Struthio camelus: one gene and its partner. The protein of the gene in region 1 interacts with the protein of each later gene in a pairwise test. Links are inferred from orthologs where the notes say so. Each region holds a gene or a part of one and is shown in the gene's direction. Other genes may lie near its edges.

The links.
Region 2: the proteins of RCHY1 (region 1) and AIG1 interact in binary tests that used the Homo sapiens proteins (3 or more experiments, as listed by UniProt). The link is inferred for Struthio camelus from reciprocal best matches to the Homo sapiens genes RCHY1 and AIG1.

What each region holds. Positions count from the first base shown.
Region 1 is NC_090945.1:5,684,471-5,692,331, forward strand, and holds the start of RCHY1 (RING finger and CHY zinc finger domain-containing protein 1), read left to right. Parts: upstream 1-4,812; 5' UTR 4,813-4,862; coding exon 4,863-4,919; intron 4,920-5,037; coding exon 5,038-5,157; intron 5,158-5,346; coding exon 5,347-5,462; intron 5,463-5,835; coding exon 5,836-5,914; intron 5,915-6,419; coding exon 6,420-6,464; intron 6,465-6,565; coding exon 6,566-6,624; intron 6,625-7,638; coding exon 7,639-7,665; intron 7,666-7,861. Other genes in the region: CDKL2 (cyclin-dependent kinase-like 2), read left to right, coding at 59-118. UniProt on the Homo sapiens protein: E3 ubiquitin-protein ligase that mediates ubiquitination of target proteins, including p53/TP53, TP73, HDAC1 and CDKN1B. Mediates ubiquitination and degradation of p53/TP53; preferentially acts on tetrameric p53/TP53.
Region 2 is NC_090944.1:76,799,655-76,807,379, forward strand, and holds the start of AIG1 (androgen-induced gene 1 protein), read left to right. Parts: upstream 1-4,644; 5' UTR 4,645-4,987; coding exon 4,988-5,128; intron 5,129-7,725. UniProt on the Homo sapiens protein: Hydrolyzes bioactive fatty-acid esters of hydroxy-fatty acids (FAHFAs), but not other major classes of lipids. Show a preference for FAHFAs with branching distal from the carboxylate head group of the lipids.

The sequences.
Region 1 (7,861 bases):
GTCTCTATTACTACACTTGGAACTGACCCTCTCCTTGTTCTTCCTACCCAATTTACAGCTATCGGGGACCTTGATATCCGATGCATCAGAAGCCAGCTTCCCCAGAGTCGAGCATTAACCTGAAGGAGAATGGGATTACACCTGCCTCTAAAACGTAGGCTTTAATTTATGCAGCTTAGCCTTCTAGTGTCTTTCAAATGGATCATTTGATGAACGCTCATGCTAGTTGGGAGTTGCGCTGGGAGTGTTCTTTTATGCTTCACACTCTGGGTCACGGATACCTGGCTAGGACAGGTTTTTTTTAGAGGGCAGCACGGAACTCTTCCCTGATTCTGAAATGCGCCATGGCACATTGCAGGGCGAGTAAATGGTTTTCCCGAGCTGAGGTGCTGGGCATTGATGTTGGGATTAATCACCTCATGGATTTGGAGGCTGAGGAAGCTAATGGAGTGACAAAGAAGGAAAACCGGCTGGCTGCATGTGAGGGGTGAAGGAATGGGTTATATGCACAGCACTTTTAAGTGCACCACAGAAAATGGACTTGCAAAAGAGAGAAAAGCACTTTGGGGACCTGTTAAGTTTAACTCATGGAAGACTTTTAATAACTATATCATGCAATTTTACTCCATTAAAATGTATTAGTTTAGCTGTTGGTAGCTCAGTGCTCTCCAAGCATGACGTAGGGGTCTGGGAGAGAAGGAGGCTTTGGAGAAGTCATGACTGTAATAGATGTCTTAAGATTGAAGTGTGAAGTTTGAAGTCTACCACTCTGGACTTTCACTTAGAATTATATCCTATATTCTAGGTTGTTTTAGGCAGGCAGTCTTAAATGTGATTTTTTTTTTTTTAATAGACTCTAACTTTGCCCATGAAAAGAAATGTGGTTCTGTAGGTGGTTTTGTCTGAAAGAAAAGTCATAGAAAAGGCTGAGTTTCTTCTGTTGGGGTATTGTTCTCTTGTTGCTGTAATAGCTGAGCATCTACTTGGCAGTCGGTTGCATGTGCTGGGAGTTTCTCTAATTTGTCTTGAAAGTGAGAACTGCAGTGCTTTGCTTTGAGAGGATTTGTACTCTCATAAGCACCCATCTTGCTCAGCTCACTGAGGCTGGACAGAAGAACAGCGCCTTGCAGAGGGAGCAGAAGTTAGAGAGGATAACGGAGGAGCAGTGGAAGGAGGCAAGGTGTTTTGGAAGGGTCCTCAGAGGCAGTGCTCCAAAATCTCACTGGCTCCGTTGGAGCTCTGCGTCATGCATGGATGGGCTGTACTCAATGCTCTGGCTTGGATGTGATCACCTACATGCCCCGAGGTGACTCTCACTGTGGCCACAGAGACCACCAGGCACTTCAGCTTCCCTTTGGCCTTACCTGGTTTCACTGGAGCTGTTTTTAAATGTTTTGCTACAGATAGCTGTTTGTATGCCATAGGAGTACTGTTAATGTGCGAGTGCAAATTGTGCGTTGTAGTTTTATATTTTGGGCTCCTGTATGTGTCCTCCTTTTTGAGGAGATGGAGCAACTGTCTGCTCTGAAATCTATTTTTAGTCTTGTGTACAGATGCACTGGCTCTTAACCCACATGAGTGTTTTTGGCACTTGAATTCAAGTGATGCAATAGCTTAGTGCTATTAGGAAGGAAGAAGAAAAATTATTGGGGTGGGAAGCAATCCTGACAATATAAATGGGGGAAAAAGAAACGTTACTGAGGTTGGCTCATCTCTGAAACACAACTTTAGGGAGGTAAGGACACACACTAAACAGAAGTAAAGGAAGCATATTGCCATGGAATGCCCCTGTGCTTGTTTGCCCGTCTGTAACGTCACCCTGTCTTTCTCCTCTTGATGCAGGTGGCTGAAAGAGTGGGAACAGTCCAGCTGAGTCTCCAGGTGCTAATGCCGCATGGTTTCTGCGGAAGAGAGGAGAATCCCTTAACTCTCTTGTTAGCACAGTGGACTGCCATGGGGCGTGGCTCAGACTGAGTCCAAGGACAGAGCTCTCATTGCCGTTGCTGCTGGATTTCTTGCATGTGAAACAGTTCCTGAGATGTTGACTTCCTGGCTTAGGGCCAAGTCTTGACTGAAGTTGCTCAGAAAGAAGTGGTGGTTTATTGGTGGGTGACAGGGGCAGAAGTTGGCTTGGAGGATTTTTGAAGAAAGCGGGGGTTTCCTTTTGTCTAACTACTGCTCTCTTGAGAGGGTGTTATTCAATGAGAATATGAGAGCTGCTGAATTTGTTATATTTTGGTGAGCTATCTGGTCTGTATTGGAAAGCATCTTTGTCTTGGCAAAAATGTCCATGGGAAATGTTTGTGGAAGAAAGATATTGTTAAACATACAAATGTTCCTAACGGTTCCTTTGAAACCCTTGCTAACGCTCAGGAGCGTGCGTGCAGTTGTGTTAGGGTCCTTTTCCCTGGATACTCTCCCTCTCCAGCTTTTGGGCAGTTGTTTCTAGACGTTTAACTGGGCCTGTTGACTGGCTGCACTTGAGTGCATGTGTGACTCCTGTTAATGCTGAAGGAAGAGTTATCGGTATAACACGTTGAGCTGTGGAGCAAGTCGCATGTGAAATGGCTTCAGAGGAGTGGTTGGTAACTCATTCAATTCATCCGTCCTTTTAAGTATATCAGGCGGGGGGGGGGGGAAATGGGACATGTAACTGGAAACTCGACAGTGGAGTGTGGGGAGAAAAAGAACAGATCAGTCTTACCTTTGGACAGTTACAAGACCATTTTTATTTAACTGTTCTCAAGTTGACTTTAGTCAGCCTATGGTGTCCCTGTGTTGCTCTCGACGCTGTTCTTTGGCAGCTCAATGCTGTTGTTGCAGCTCAAACCCCTGTCTGGTGCAGTTAGCTTTGGAACTGTGTTGTCATTCCACAGAGCAGGGCCTTTCCCATCAGCATACCATGGCAGTGTGGGTGTCATCATATTTAGATCTTTGTGGCTATGCTATGTTCTGACATGTATATTTAAATTTTGTAAATAAAAGGATATTCAAATTCTAAACTCCTGGCTGCTAGTGTGTGTTTGCAAATGTAAGGTTGTGGTGACTCAAGTCTTCTCTGGGTTCAAACTTGGTATTATATCTGCTTATTTGTGCTGGTAGCATTGCCTGCACTGGAAAAGAGAGAGGATTTTTGGATCATTTTTTATTTAACAGCTGAGATACGATTGTTTTGTAACCATCTACAAGCACAGGTTCCTCTTCTCTGCATCATTTTAGATGCCTAGGGTCAGGGGGGGAATTAAACACATCAAAGGGCAAATGATGATTAGATGTAAAGATGGAGCCAGACTCTTCTCAGTGGTACCCAGTGACAGGACGAGAGGCAATAGGTGCAAATTGAAATACAGGAAGTCCCCTCCGGATAGCTTGTTTGTTTAAAATAAAATAAAATTAAAAAAAGGCACCACTTTCCTCTGAGAGTGGTTGGACACTGGCACAGGTTGCCCAGAGAGGTTGTGGTGTCTCCGTCCCTGGAGGTATTCAAAACCTGACTGGACATGGTCCTGGGCAACCGGCTTGAAGTGACCCTGCTTCAGCAGGGGGTTGGAGGAGAGATACCTTCCAACCCCAGCTATTCTGTGATTATTACAAATTGCTGCTGCTGCTCACTGCTGAAACAGTGTGTAGCAGAAAGCAACCACTATTGCCCCATCTTGTTTTTGTACACCCTGTGGTTTGGTAAGTGCGTTCACACTAGATTCAAACTAAAAATTATTAATTAGAGATGATGAGTTGATTTACTTTAACTAGCAGCTGTGCCATTAAATGTCCTACATGCCGCACTCGTACACTGGGTTTATATTTTTTAGAAAAAATGCGTGCTTCTGTCTTTCACTTTGTGCAAAAAGAAGCGTGCAGTTAGCTATGTGATAAGCACATTTAATGCACCCATGGCAAAAATAAAAAGCAAACATGATCTGAAACCCCTTTAACGCAGCCTTAAGGAAACTCACCCTGATAGTCTCCCTGACTGAGGGAGCTCTGTAGAGCTCCTGCCTCCTTGCGGTGCCCTGTGGCAGACCTACGCCTGCGGCTTTTGGAAGAAGACACCGAAGTTGCAAGAACTTTAGCATGCCCGTAGCCCCAGAATTGCATTTCTAGGAAGCAACGAGCTTTACAATTCTCTTTTCCTATGAGATGACATAAAGCTTGACTTGTTATCCTGCCTGGACCAAAGCTGCCCATTTCAGGTAAGGAAACTGGGACCCTGGAGCCAGAAACTGGGGGCTTACTCCAAATATTTTTTGATTATTTTTCAGTAGCTAAGGCCTGCCTAAAAAATCCCTATTAAAAAGCTAAGCCTCGAGAAGCACAGGTCCCTGGTTTATGGCATTTTCACGGGAGCGTTTGCCATGAATCCCTGCTCTTGCTTGTTGAAAATGCATACGTCGCGCTTCCTCACCTTCCCTTCCTTTAGGGAAGCCGGCAGCCACCTGGGCTCCAGTGCCGCAGCAAAGCAGAGGCAATCGGAAATCTCAGCAGCCTGAGGGAAGCCTTTGATGGGCCTTTTCCCCCAAAACCCTCCTCTTCCTTTCTGGAACAGAAGAGGGCAGAAGGAGGCTCCTTTTGGACAGGTGCCACAGCTGTCTGTGCCTCTGGGTATATGCACAGAGCTGCATCGCTGTGAAGGCATCCGCACGTATAGAGAGGCGCATGCGTGCACCCATACCGCGCGTGTGAATACGGATAGATCCCCGCACCGCGTCGACACGCATCACACACACCCCTCTCTACCACGTGCCTACCAGGGGCCGTGTGCGCAGGCGCCGGCCCCGTCCCCCGGCGAAGGCGGAAGTGGGGGGCGGAAGCGCGGGGGCGGGGCCACTGCTGGGGGGGGGGGGGAGCGGCAGTGCGCGGCCATGGCGGCGGGCGGCGAGGAGGGTTGCGAGCATTACCGCCGCGGTTGCCTGCTCCGGGTGAGGCGGCGGGGCGGGCGCCGCAGCAGCAGCAGCAGCAGCAACCGGGGGCGCGGTGGCGGCCACGCCGCCTCGGAGGGCTGGTCGCCGCCTGCTGAGGTGTCCCGTCTCGTTGCAGGCGCCGTGCTGCGGGAAGCTGTACGCCTGCCGGCTGTGCCACGACGGCGCCGAGGGCCACCGCCTGGACCGCTTCCGCGTGGCGGAGGTGCAGTGCGCCCGCTGCCGCCGCCTGCAGAAGGTGGGCACGGCCCGCGGCGGCCGCCATGGCGGCAGCGGCGCGGGGGCCGCCATGTTGGGGGGTGGGGGCCGCCATTTCGGGGGGGGGTGCGGCCGCCATGTTGGGCGGCGGCGCCGCGTGCCTAACGGTCGTCTCCTTTGCTTTCTCTTCGCTTCCTTTCCCCTCCCCGGGCCGGCGCGGCGGCGGCAGGCGCAGCAGAGCTGCGAGGGCTGCCACAGCCTCTTTGGGGAGTACTACTGCGGCATCTGCCATCTCTTCGACCGCGACAAGAAGCAGTACCACTGCGCCGAGTGCGGCATCTGCAGGTGCGGGCGGGCTGCTCCGGGGGGAAACGGGGCAAAAAAAAAAAAACGGCTTTCCGGAGCCCGGCGCTTGTGGCCGGGCTGTTGCCGTCGGGCGCCTCCTGCGGGTAAAAGGCACCGGAGCCTGGAGCTGCGGTCGGCTCGGCAGAGGCTTGCGCTTGTTCTTTGCAGTCTAAGCAGGCCCGTGTTTTACTTCAGTCGTGGCAAAACGTTGCTAAGAACGAGAGCTTGTCTGCAGTCCGTACGAATTACGGCTGTTCCGTAGGTAACTTGGCTTGGGAATTAGGCTTCTGTCACTTGGGGAGCGTTTGGGTGGAAAACAAAGCAGAGCCGTGCAAAGTCCTAAGCTGTTCTTGACTGGGCCTTGTCTCCTTAGGATCGGCCCGAAGGAAGATTTCTTCCACTGTTCAAAGTGTAATTTATGCCTAAGTTTGAGTCTTCGAGGGAAACACAAGGTGAGAATATACCACTTTGTCATTTTTAAACAAACAAAACAAAAATGTTTTTCCTGCAGTCAGAAGTGCCTCGAGTTGATCTAAGGCTATACAGATTGGGGAAGCGGCAGGCTCTCTCCTCCTTCTCTAAATGCGTCTTTCCTGAACAGCAACACAGAATGCTCCTGGGTGGGCTTTGAGCTACAGGATATATAAATATCAGTCATGTTCTTCTCTGCCTTCACTGCAGACACAGCAACACATCTGTTTGAGCTGCTGTTTCTGCTGTAGTATAGGAAGAGCTAGGCTATCTATGGTTGTGAGGGCCCTGGAAACAATTTCTTGCATGTTATTTCAAGCTAGTTTTTTTTTTTTTTATTAGACTAGAGTAGTTGTTAATTCTCAGAATTTCAACCCTAAATGAACAGAGTAAGGCTTATACCTCTTTATTTATTCTAAAGGAATTTTAGACTTTAAAAATGCAGCTATCTGTGCAGTAGAATAACTTTTCTTTGTTTTTGTAAAGTGCATCGAAAACGTCTCCAGGCAAGATTGTCCAATATGTTTGGAGGTGAGCTGCTTCTATTCAACTCTCTTAAAATTGTGTTTGCTTGTGCTTCTTGCTGTGTTTGTAGTTAATGGTTCTTTTGTGTACTATTTGTCTTGAAACAGGACATTCACACGTCTCGTGTTGGAGCTCATGTTCTGCCATGTGGTCACCTTCTTCACAGGTAAAGTATTTCAGAAATTTGAGCGTTGAGAGTACCTACTGCGTTGTGTGTGCTGTTGTCTCAGCGCTACGACAGGCCTGGTTGGTCTGAGTTATTACAGCTGGTTTCTAAGGGACCCAGGTAGTAGGAGACAGCCTGTATTTCATCAGAAAGTGCTTCCTTCAGAAAGGATAGCTTTCTTCCAAAGTCCAGTAAATCTTGTTGGTGGAGGGGCCTGTTTCCTGTTTATTTTGAGTTTTCCTATGTTGAATTTCCTTCTGTTACTGAAATCTAAAGAATCCCATAGAGAAATCTCTTCTTGGTGCAGAAAGCAGTTGCACAATGGGTTTAAGAGGCTGGTGCCAGTTCATGCATTAAGTCTTAAATTTTCTCCTTACACAGCCACCAGGAGCACTGAATGCTTTGTTTCTCTACAAAAACTGCCCGCTCTGTCAGGATTTTATGGTGTGGTAATATACAGCGCTGGGTGCCTCTGGAGGAGTAATTACAAGAAGGCCATGGGTTTCCCTTCCATCCTGCTCCCAGTGTAGCCTTGACGTGATGTTTTTCCTTTGTGCAGTGTCCTACAGAAACAGCTTCTTGTTGCTGTGTTGGCTTTCTTGGTTTTCCCCTTTGCCTCTGTGAGCTGATTTAACGGCCTCCACGTTTGACAATGTCAGGCCTCCCCAAATTGAACCTTCCTTTGATTCCTGTCCATCTTGAAGTTATCCTGTGATGCATCACAGCCTTTTTTTTCAGCGAACTGTAACCAAACCAACATTGTTGTATTGCCGACTCTGTTCTTTCATCTTACTTTTCAAGACATCAGAAAGGCATTAAACGTGCTTTGTCTCATGATTTTGCCTAAATACCAAACACTTTTCCTGAGAGGCCTTCTTTCCACTTTAACCCAGGATATTTTTGACTTCTGGTTTGGGGATAGCTGTGTGCTTTTCTCCTCCTTTCTGTCCACATGGGTTACCATTCAGTAATTCCACTTTTCTTACTGAACTTCTCATTGTGTTTTCTTTTCAGAACGTGTTACGAGGACATGTTAAAGGAGTAAGTATTTCTAACCCTTTCTTGTCTTTAAGATTGTAGTAATCTAGGCAGATTACTTGGGAGAGGCAAAGATCACGATGCCAATCCAGTACCCATTATTTAAAGGCAACTCCTAGGGGGAAAAGGGGCTTTTAATTTCCACCTCTTCTGCAGGAGTTTCCAGTTGGTTCTGTTTCTCCTTTACTGTCGTGGTAAG
Region 2 (7,725 bases), on another chromosome or scaffold:
CATTTTTATCCTTTACATCTGTGCAGAGTAAATTTCCTTATTTTAACAACATATATAGAGAATAAATAAATAAAAACTTGCCTAAAGTTTAATATTACTATTAACAATGGGCCCAGTCACAGCAGATGAATGACTGCCTTAGCAAAGATTTTGTGTTGAATCCTCCTCTGGTATGTGTGGTTACCTACTACCTTCAGTGATAATTCACCTGACTGCAGAACTATATATATTGCATATATACATGCATATGTAAAAAATACACATTTAAGAACAGTTCTAAAAACTCTTCTTTCTTAGGCATGGGCAGGCTTTTCCTCAATACTTGCCTGTGCGGTTTTATTTTATAATGTTTCCAATAATTACACTTACAGCCATTGCAAGAAAAGCTTAATCTTTGCATATCTGCTTGGGTAGAATCAAAGGGAGTGACACTCCCAAACATTCAAGTACACTTATGTCGGCACAGTTTGTATACTCTACCTTAAATATTAGAAACTGCAGTATCAGGTGCATCATCATGAACACACTGTGATGAGGCAGTAATCACGAATTTCCTATGAGTTCAAGCATGCATTATTATGGATTATTCTTTGAAGGTAACTGCTTGTGGCATAATTCCTTGTAAACAACTCATTTCCATATAAACCACCTACTTAAGAAAAGGCACCTCCTTGCTCAGGTCTCAAAACACCTTTCAAAGACCATTCACGAAATTATTCTTTGATATTCACAAAACACAATGCTGTCCAGAAAATCAGTTGCAGTTCCTTTAGAAAAGAACAGCAAAACCCCTCTTAAGCATTCTCATCTGCTAGCCTGCATAGAAAAGATTAAAACTTGGACTCCCAAGATGTTACCTTATTCTGCCTAAGTGGCAAAACAGCAAAAACATCATGCTTCACTGATTTATAATAACAACTGGATGGGAAACCCACCTTTTCAGTCTTTTCCATTCAATCCTCTGACATATTTGCAGGCATCTTGCTTCCTCCTCCCTGTAGTAGATAGCATTGCTTAACCTCCCCCATCCCAGAAATACCAGTGCTTCTGACACGCTTTCCTGTCTAAAACACTTTTCCATCTCCACTCTGTGACTAGTATGACCTATGTCAAACTCTCACACTTTCCAATGAACTTATATCATGTGACTTATGAAAATTTAGTTGTGGTTATGCACAATTTACATATATGCAAATATTTAAACATCAGGACCTGAAAAATCAGGGAATAGCCTTGCATATCATCTATTAAATGCTTATAGTCTACCTTACTAAGATTTATGGATTTGATCAAAAGCCTGAAATGTAAACATTTTACAAAGTACTGAAAAGTTGCAATCATATACCAAGATAAAGAATAAATTATCAAAATTACACATTTTTACTTTGCTGAAAAAATGTAAGACAAAATCCTCCAAGGAAAGCAAATCCACTTCAAATGTATTTCAATCACAGTCACAAAAGACTATGCTGCTTGTTTCTCAATAGCTGGGGAGTATAAACTCCACTATGGCACATAAGAGGAAAACGGCAGCCTACAATCTAATTAGCCTTCATTATAATACTGTTCAGAGATTCAACAGATATGCCTTTTAAAAGGACACATGCACAAAGGACCCACCCACAAAGGAGTTAAGTTTCCTTTCAGAGGTCTAGAAATGCTAAACAAAGAAGAGCCTTTGCTAGGAAGAAGCTTGGCTGAGCCTGGAATGTTAGCTAACCTGTCTTGAAAGAAGAAAATGGGGAACAAAAGTGTTTACATATTCTGCTTCACTTAAAATTTCACCTTAGTTTACAAGGCTGGGTGAATGTTTTTCTTCATGCAAGGCTAGGATTTTCTGTGAGCTTTACTGACGTCTCTGTGGAAGAGCGGAGAGTAGAATTGAAGAAGCATTCAAAATAGGGCTCTCAAAATGGGTAGTTTTTCCCTTTTTAAAAAGTTTTAAGGATGCTGAAACTCTGCAAGATGTGTAACCACATGTGACTTGAAGGATAACTGGGAATGGCAATTAGTAAGTGATGTTCAGTGAGTACTGTTTGTGGTGACACGTTAGCAACGTTCAGGTGATCCAAGGAGTGAGTTCCCCTACACAGCAGCAGGAGGTTGCAGTTAGAACAGTAGAAGACATAAACTGTCTAAGAATTAGACAACCCAAAGAACTCCATGTCGGAGGCTGACTGCAAGATATGAGCATGTACATGCATATGTTTGTAATCAGTCATGCTGTAGTGGCCCACATGGAGCCTGTTTTTAAAAGCTTATAAAGCTCAAGTCCAGCGAGAACTGCGTACTAAGAGTGCCTCTACACTAGCATTATAGTTCAGATCAACAACGCACTTTAGAAGTAAATCTACTGATCATCTGCACTCATACTGTTCTGCTTTGGTTCATATCATGATATAGGCTTAGAATGCAAGCTGGATTCCATCTGGATAAAAACAAAAGCAGAAGATATACTCTAGGCGTTCACTTAACGCACTCCAGCCATTAATGAGCATTTAGTCCACAGGTCCAGGTAAGAACTAATCTGCAGTAAAGCCCCTTGCAATACACACAGCACAGACATCAGATTCCTAGCAGCAACTGGTGTACTCCATAGATCCATTTGTACTGGGGCACGCTATTAACCTTATTTGTCTGGTCTTCTATGTATTGTAGGCCACAACGTTTTATCCAGATACCTCTAATGCTGAACATTAAGTCTTCAATGAAACTGAACTCTTTTGATCTGTAAGACTAAAATACATACCACAGACAACAGAAAGGTCTGAATGCCTAATGTGCTTGCTGTGGCTGTAAACTGATAGGTAAGATAACCTAACGATCTAGCACGAAACTCATGCTCCACGCTCCTAGAGGATTCTTTGTGCGTGCCTGAAATACAATTCCTCCCCATAAGCAAATAACTTAAATTGTGCTAATTTCTTTTAGGATAGGTGCTGGCACGTGTTCCCCTAAACAATCCTTCATTTTTTCAGAACTTGAACACGGTAGATACCTGATTAAGAGGTCTTGTGTCTATGTGACGAATAAAAGTAGGGAACACATTGCAGAATCATTGATTCTTTTTGCCTTCCAGTATCATAATTATGATAAAGCCACTTCTTGTTCAAATATTTATTGCAAAGGACAGATGTATGGAGACGTTGTTTAGAAGTCATTTGTGTAATTCAAGCCCCAATATCACTGCTACTTAGTGTTTTTCCTTCTAAAATAACTTTTCCAGCTGGTGGAGCAATTAAACTAACTCTCAAGTCAAACACTTTAAGAACCTATCCTTTTTAGGGTGAAGAAGTCCAAGCACAAGACCTCCTTAACTGCAGCTGCTTATAACACCAACAATCCCTTCAGTGGTCAAACCTCTGCTGACGGAAGAAGCTCTCATTCATTGCCCTTAGACAAAGGCAGGTATCAATACTAAACCCTGAAATTACACCAGTGCTCACTTATCCAGGTATTGTCTTTCACTTGATTTCTCTTTCATGAGTTCTTTCAGTGTCCTTCTACTTATTTTATTTGCTCCTGGAATAATGAAACAGGAGGTGGTTGGTCTCAAGGCCCCCTCAGAACATGACTGGCACTGCAATTCAAGTCCTTCCTGTTCCAAGACTAGCTGTTTCTGCTGGTAAGTGCATTTTTGGCCTTCTCAGGGAGAAGGCAGCCATCACGAGTCAGAGCTGAGGGCATGAACCTTCCTAATGACCTCCTGGTCACTGGGAAATTATTACAAAGAGGTTAGTTACAACCAGTAACAGCACAGATATCGCACCCAACATTTTAATACTGGGATAATGAGGCCACAACTCCAGGTGTTTGCAAGTATTAGGAAGCACACCTCTAGCAATTGTTTGTGTGTACGTGTGTTGGATATAAGCAAAACAAGTGGGAGGCTTGCTGCTAAGAGACATGAAAGACTTGAGGGTTCCTCAAAAGTATACACAAAAGGATTGTGAACGGTTCTCAACACACAGCAGAGGTCATATGAACCAAGAGCATACCATAACTGTGGAGTTACAGCTCAACCGGTGTTTATCAGGTGGGCTCGCTTGTGCGTTTGCTCGGCCACAACTGTCTGCGCCTCCCCCCACACACCACCGCTGCCACTGCCGCCGCCTGCTCGCACCGAGGGCCGTTGGGGGTGACACCTGCTCTAACCGCCGCCGCGCGCTGCCACCCCGCAGCGGATTGGCTGAGGCGCGGTCAGCTGACCGCGCCAAAGACCCCGCCTGCCGCCGGCTTGCTGCAACGGCTGCTGGGCAACGGCCGCTGGGCCCTCTCCCCCCCCACGGGCGGGCAGGCAGCGGCGGGGGGGGGGGGTGCAGTCGCCCCAGGAGCGCGTATGCGAAACAGCAGTTCATTGCACAGTAATTACAAAACGTAATTGCAGGTGGGAAGGATAGCGCCTGAATTTTCCTTTTTTTTTTTTTTTTTTTGTTTCTAGTTGGGAAATGAACGCGGGCCGCCAAGCGCTGACAGGGGTTTCTTTTACCACGCGCAAGTTCGCAAATACGCGCATTCCTTCCCGGCTGGGCGAGCACGCCTGAGGGACGCGCGTCCCTGGCGGGAGGGCCGTGTCCCCCCCCGGCCGCCCCCGGACCCACCTGCCACCGCAGGCCCCGCGGGGCAGCGGCAGCGCAGGCGGGCGGGCCTGGCCCCGCGGCCCCTCGGCAAGCGCACGGCTCCGGCCCGGCGACGGAGCCGCGGCTCGGGAGCGCGCCGACACGAGCAATAGCGCCGGCTCCGCCGCTCGCCGCCGCCTGCACCGCTCCCCCCCGCCCCCGCTCCTCCCCGCCGCAGCCGCCGGCCGCCTCGGCCCCGGCAGGACACCCGCTGCCGCACAGCGCGGCCGCTCCGCTCCACCCCGGCCGGGGCGCGGGGGCACACACTCATAGACACACACGCACGGAAGCGCAGCCCGACCGCCGCCGCGGAGGCCGGCCCTGCAGACACACACACACACGGAAGCCGGCCCTGCGCAGCGTGCAACATGGCGCTGGTGCCCTGCCAGGTGCTGCGCGCCGCCATCCTCCTGTCCTATTGCTCCATCCTGTGCAATTTCAAGGCCATTGACATGCCCGCGCATCAGACCTATGGAGGCAGCTGGAAATTTCTGACCTTCATAGACCTGGTAAGTCGTTCCCCCCCTCACCCCGTCTCGCCCCGGCCCCCTGCCCCCTCCGCCAGGCCGCCCGCCCAACGGCCGCCGCCGTCGCCGCGCGCGTGGGCGGGCCCGGCCGCTCGCGGCCCCCCGGCGCGGCCGCCCCGCTCGACGGCAGCGCCATGAGGTGACCTGAAAGCGGGACGGCGACATGTTGTGACTCCCGGGCCGGCCGTTGAGAGGAGCCGGTCGGAGACGACGGCCGCGGAACCGGGTGGTTTGGAAGGAGAAAGACACGGACAAAGCCGAGGAGCTGTTGTGTGCAAGCGGGCCGCGGCGGCACGGAGCCCGGTGGGCAAAGTGCGCCCGCCGCCCGGTCACAGCAATACTTCTCCCGTGTTTCACCCTTTTTTTTAAGGGATGACAGCAAACACCAGAACCTGCTGGTCCCAGTATTTGGCTCCAGCCTCCTCAAGCGTGCTGTCAAAGTAGAAAACATGCCTTGTTCCCTTTGGCCCACCAGAGGAATCGTTGCCCAGCAGGTGCTAGTGCGAGAGCAACACAAAACCCATTAGGCGACTCAGCTTGCCTGATCCAGTTAGCTTTGGTTCCAAACTCATAAACCGATCTATTAAACCAAAGATGTTTCTTTTCACCTTTCTTCATAAGGATTCAGATCTTGAACTGTCATGTGTGTAAGTCCACTGGGAACCACCTAGTGCTGCAGCTGAACCTTGCTGGTCAAGGGCTATTCTTGCCCCCAGTTTCATAGCCTTACCGCTTCAGTAACAGTGTTGCTTCTAGCGTACTTGGGAGAGGGGGTGGGAGGAAAAGAGGAAATGGCAGGAGACAGCTGGTTCCCGATTCAGAAATAAAATAACAACTTTCACCTTGCACCTCGACCAAAGCACTTTTTTTTCTATGAATCCACAGTATAATTAAAAAATACATTTTGTAGTTCCCACTGAGTTACAGAAAGTCTGAAAAAGTCTCTGTTTCGGTGATCCCTGATGATAAAACGTTTCTCAGTATCCCATTCTTATTTCACAAATATTGCTGCATTAACTGCCTACACACTTAATACCCAGTTAGTAGGTCGAGTTTGTGAATTTGAGTAGGTCAGGGGTGCAAATTTCTATGTCAGAATTAAGATAAGGTTCATTGAGCTCCTTTTTTTTTTTTTAGAGAAAAGAAACAACAACCATATTTTTTATTTAACCAAGGCTAGTTTTTTTGTTGGGTGCAAAAAATTATCTGGACCTTTGAGGATCATAGCCATTAGTGGCGCTTTTACTGCCATTGTAAAAAGGTGTCTTAAGGCCTGGATTTTTTCTGGAATGCAAACTAATGCCTAAGTTTGGTTATTTTTCCTTCTGGGCTGCTGAACAGTACCATCAGTGATACTGATTGATAGAGGTTAGAGTCAAATCCCATTAAGTTAGGGCAGAACTGTTGACTTCAGCGACAGTTGAATTGGATGTGAACCAACTAAAGTTAAAGCCGATGACCTTGTACTTGAGTCTCTTTCACGTTTTTCTCTGTTTTATATAGTTCTGACAGTCCCTGGAGGATTAAGTGAACTAAGGCTGTTTGTCATGCATTGAAAGTAACATTTGACAGTGCATGATATTATTTCCCAAGAAATTACAATCTGCTGTCTATGACAAGTTCATGTGGACTTTCCCGCCAAAGCATACACATGGGTCAGACTACTTCTGACATGGCCCAGAAGGTCAAGTAAATATGTAATGCTTTCTAAAACAAGGACTGGAACAGTTATCAACTCTAATTAGTCACTTCTGTCCTTTAGGTCATAGATGTCATGTGTTACCCATAGTCAAGTCTGATAGTCGAGAAAAGGTTAATAGTTCCTAATAGTCTAGATTCCTTCTGAATAGTGGTCACAACTACTTGAATGCCTTTCTTGGTGCCTAGCCAGAAAATTGCACTCTCCACTTGTTAACAATATTTAATTGTGTCCAAATACCTCTGGTAGCATCTTACCTAAGCAGATCTGTCTTTATGTCCTCTGGGACAACTGGGAGACTTCGCGAAACAAAATCCTGTTAGATTCCTGAGGAGGATTCCAGGAGTGGTTGGAGGATGCTAGGCACGCTTCCAAAATACTCTGTTAGCTAAGTCTTAAAAAGCTCGTCCATAAGTTTCAATTTCCTCAACCATGTGTCGTGTTCCTGTGTCAGTCATATTCAAAGTCTGTCTAGACAAAATATCAGCAATGCCAGAGTCTTGTCAGACGTGTGTTCTTGCTGCAGATTGTACCTCCACAAGCAGAGATTTCATCTTTAACATCACAGAGGCACGTAGACGTTCTTTCAGTTTCCAAAAAATGCTACCAGTTTTTGTGAAAGTGAGTTTATTAATTGATTGTGAAAACTAATATGGAATTTTTTCCATGTATCCAGTTGTAATGGTACATTCCACTCTCAGCATCAATGAGTGCCTCAGAGATTTAGATAGCTGGCTTTGCACAGGTGCTGTTTAGTTATTTGTGTGTAACATAATTTTGAATCAAATTATGAAAAACTAATCTAAACTCATATGAAACTCTAAAAACTCTAAAACTCCTTTAAAGTAAAGCACAAGACATAGCAAAATGTTCTAGATCT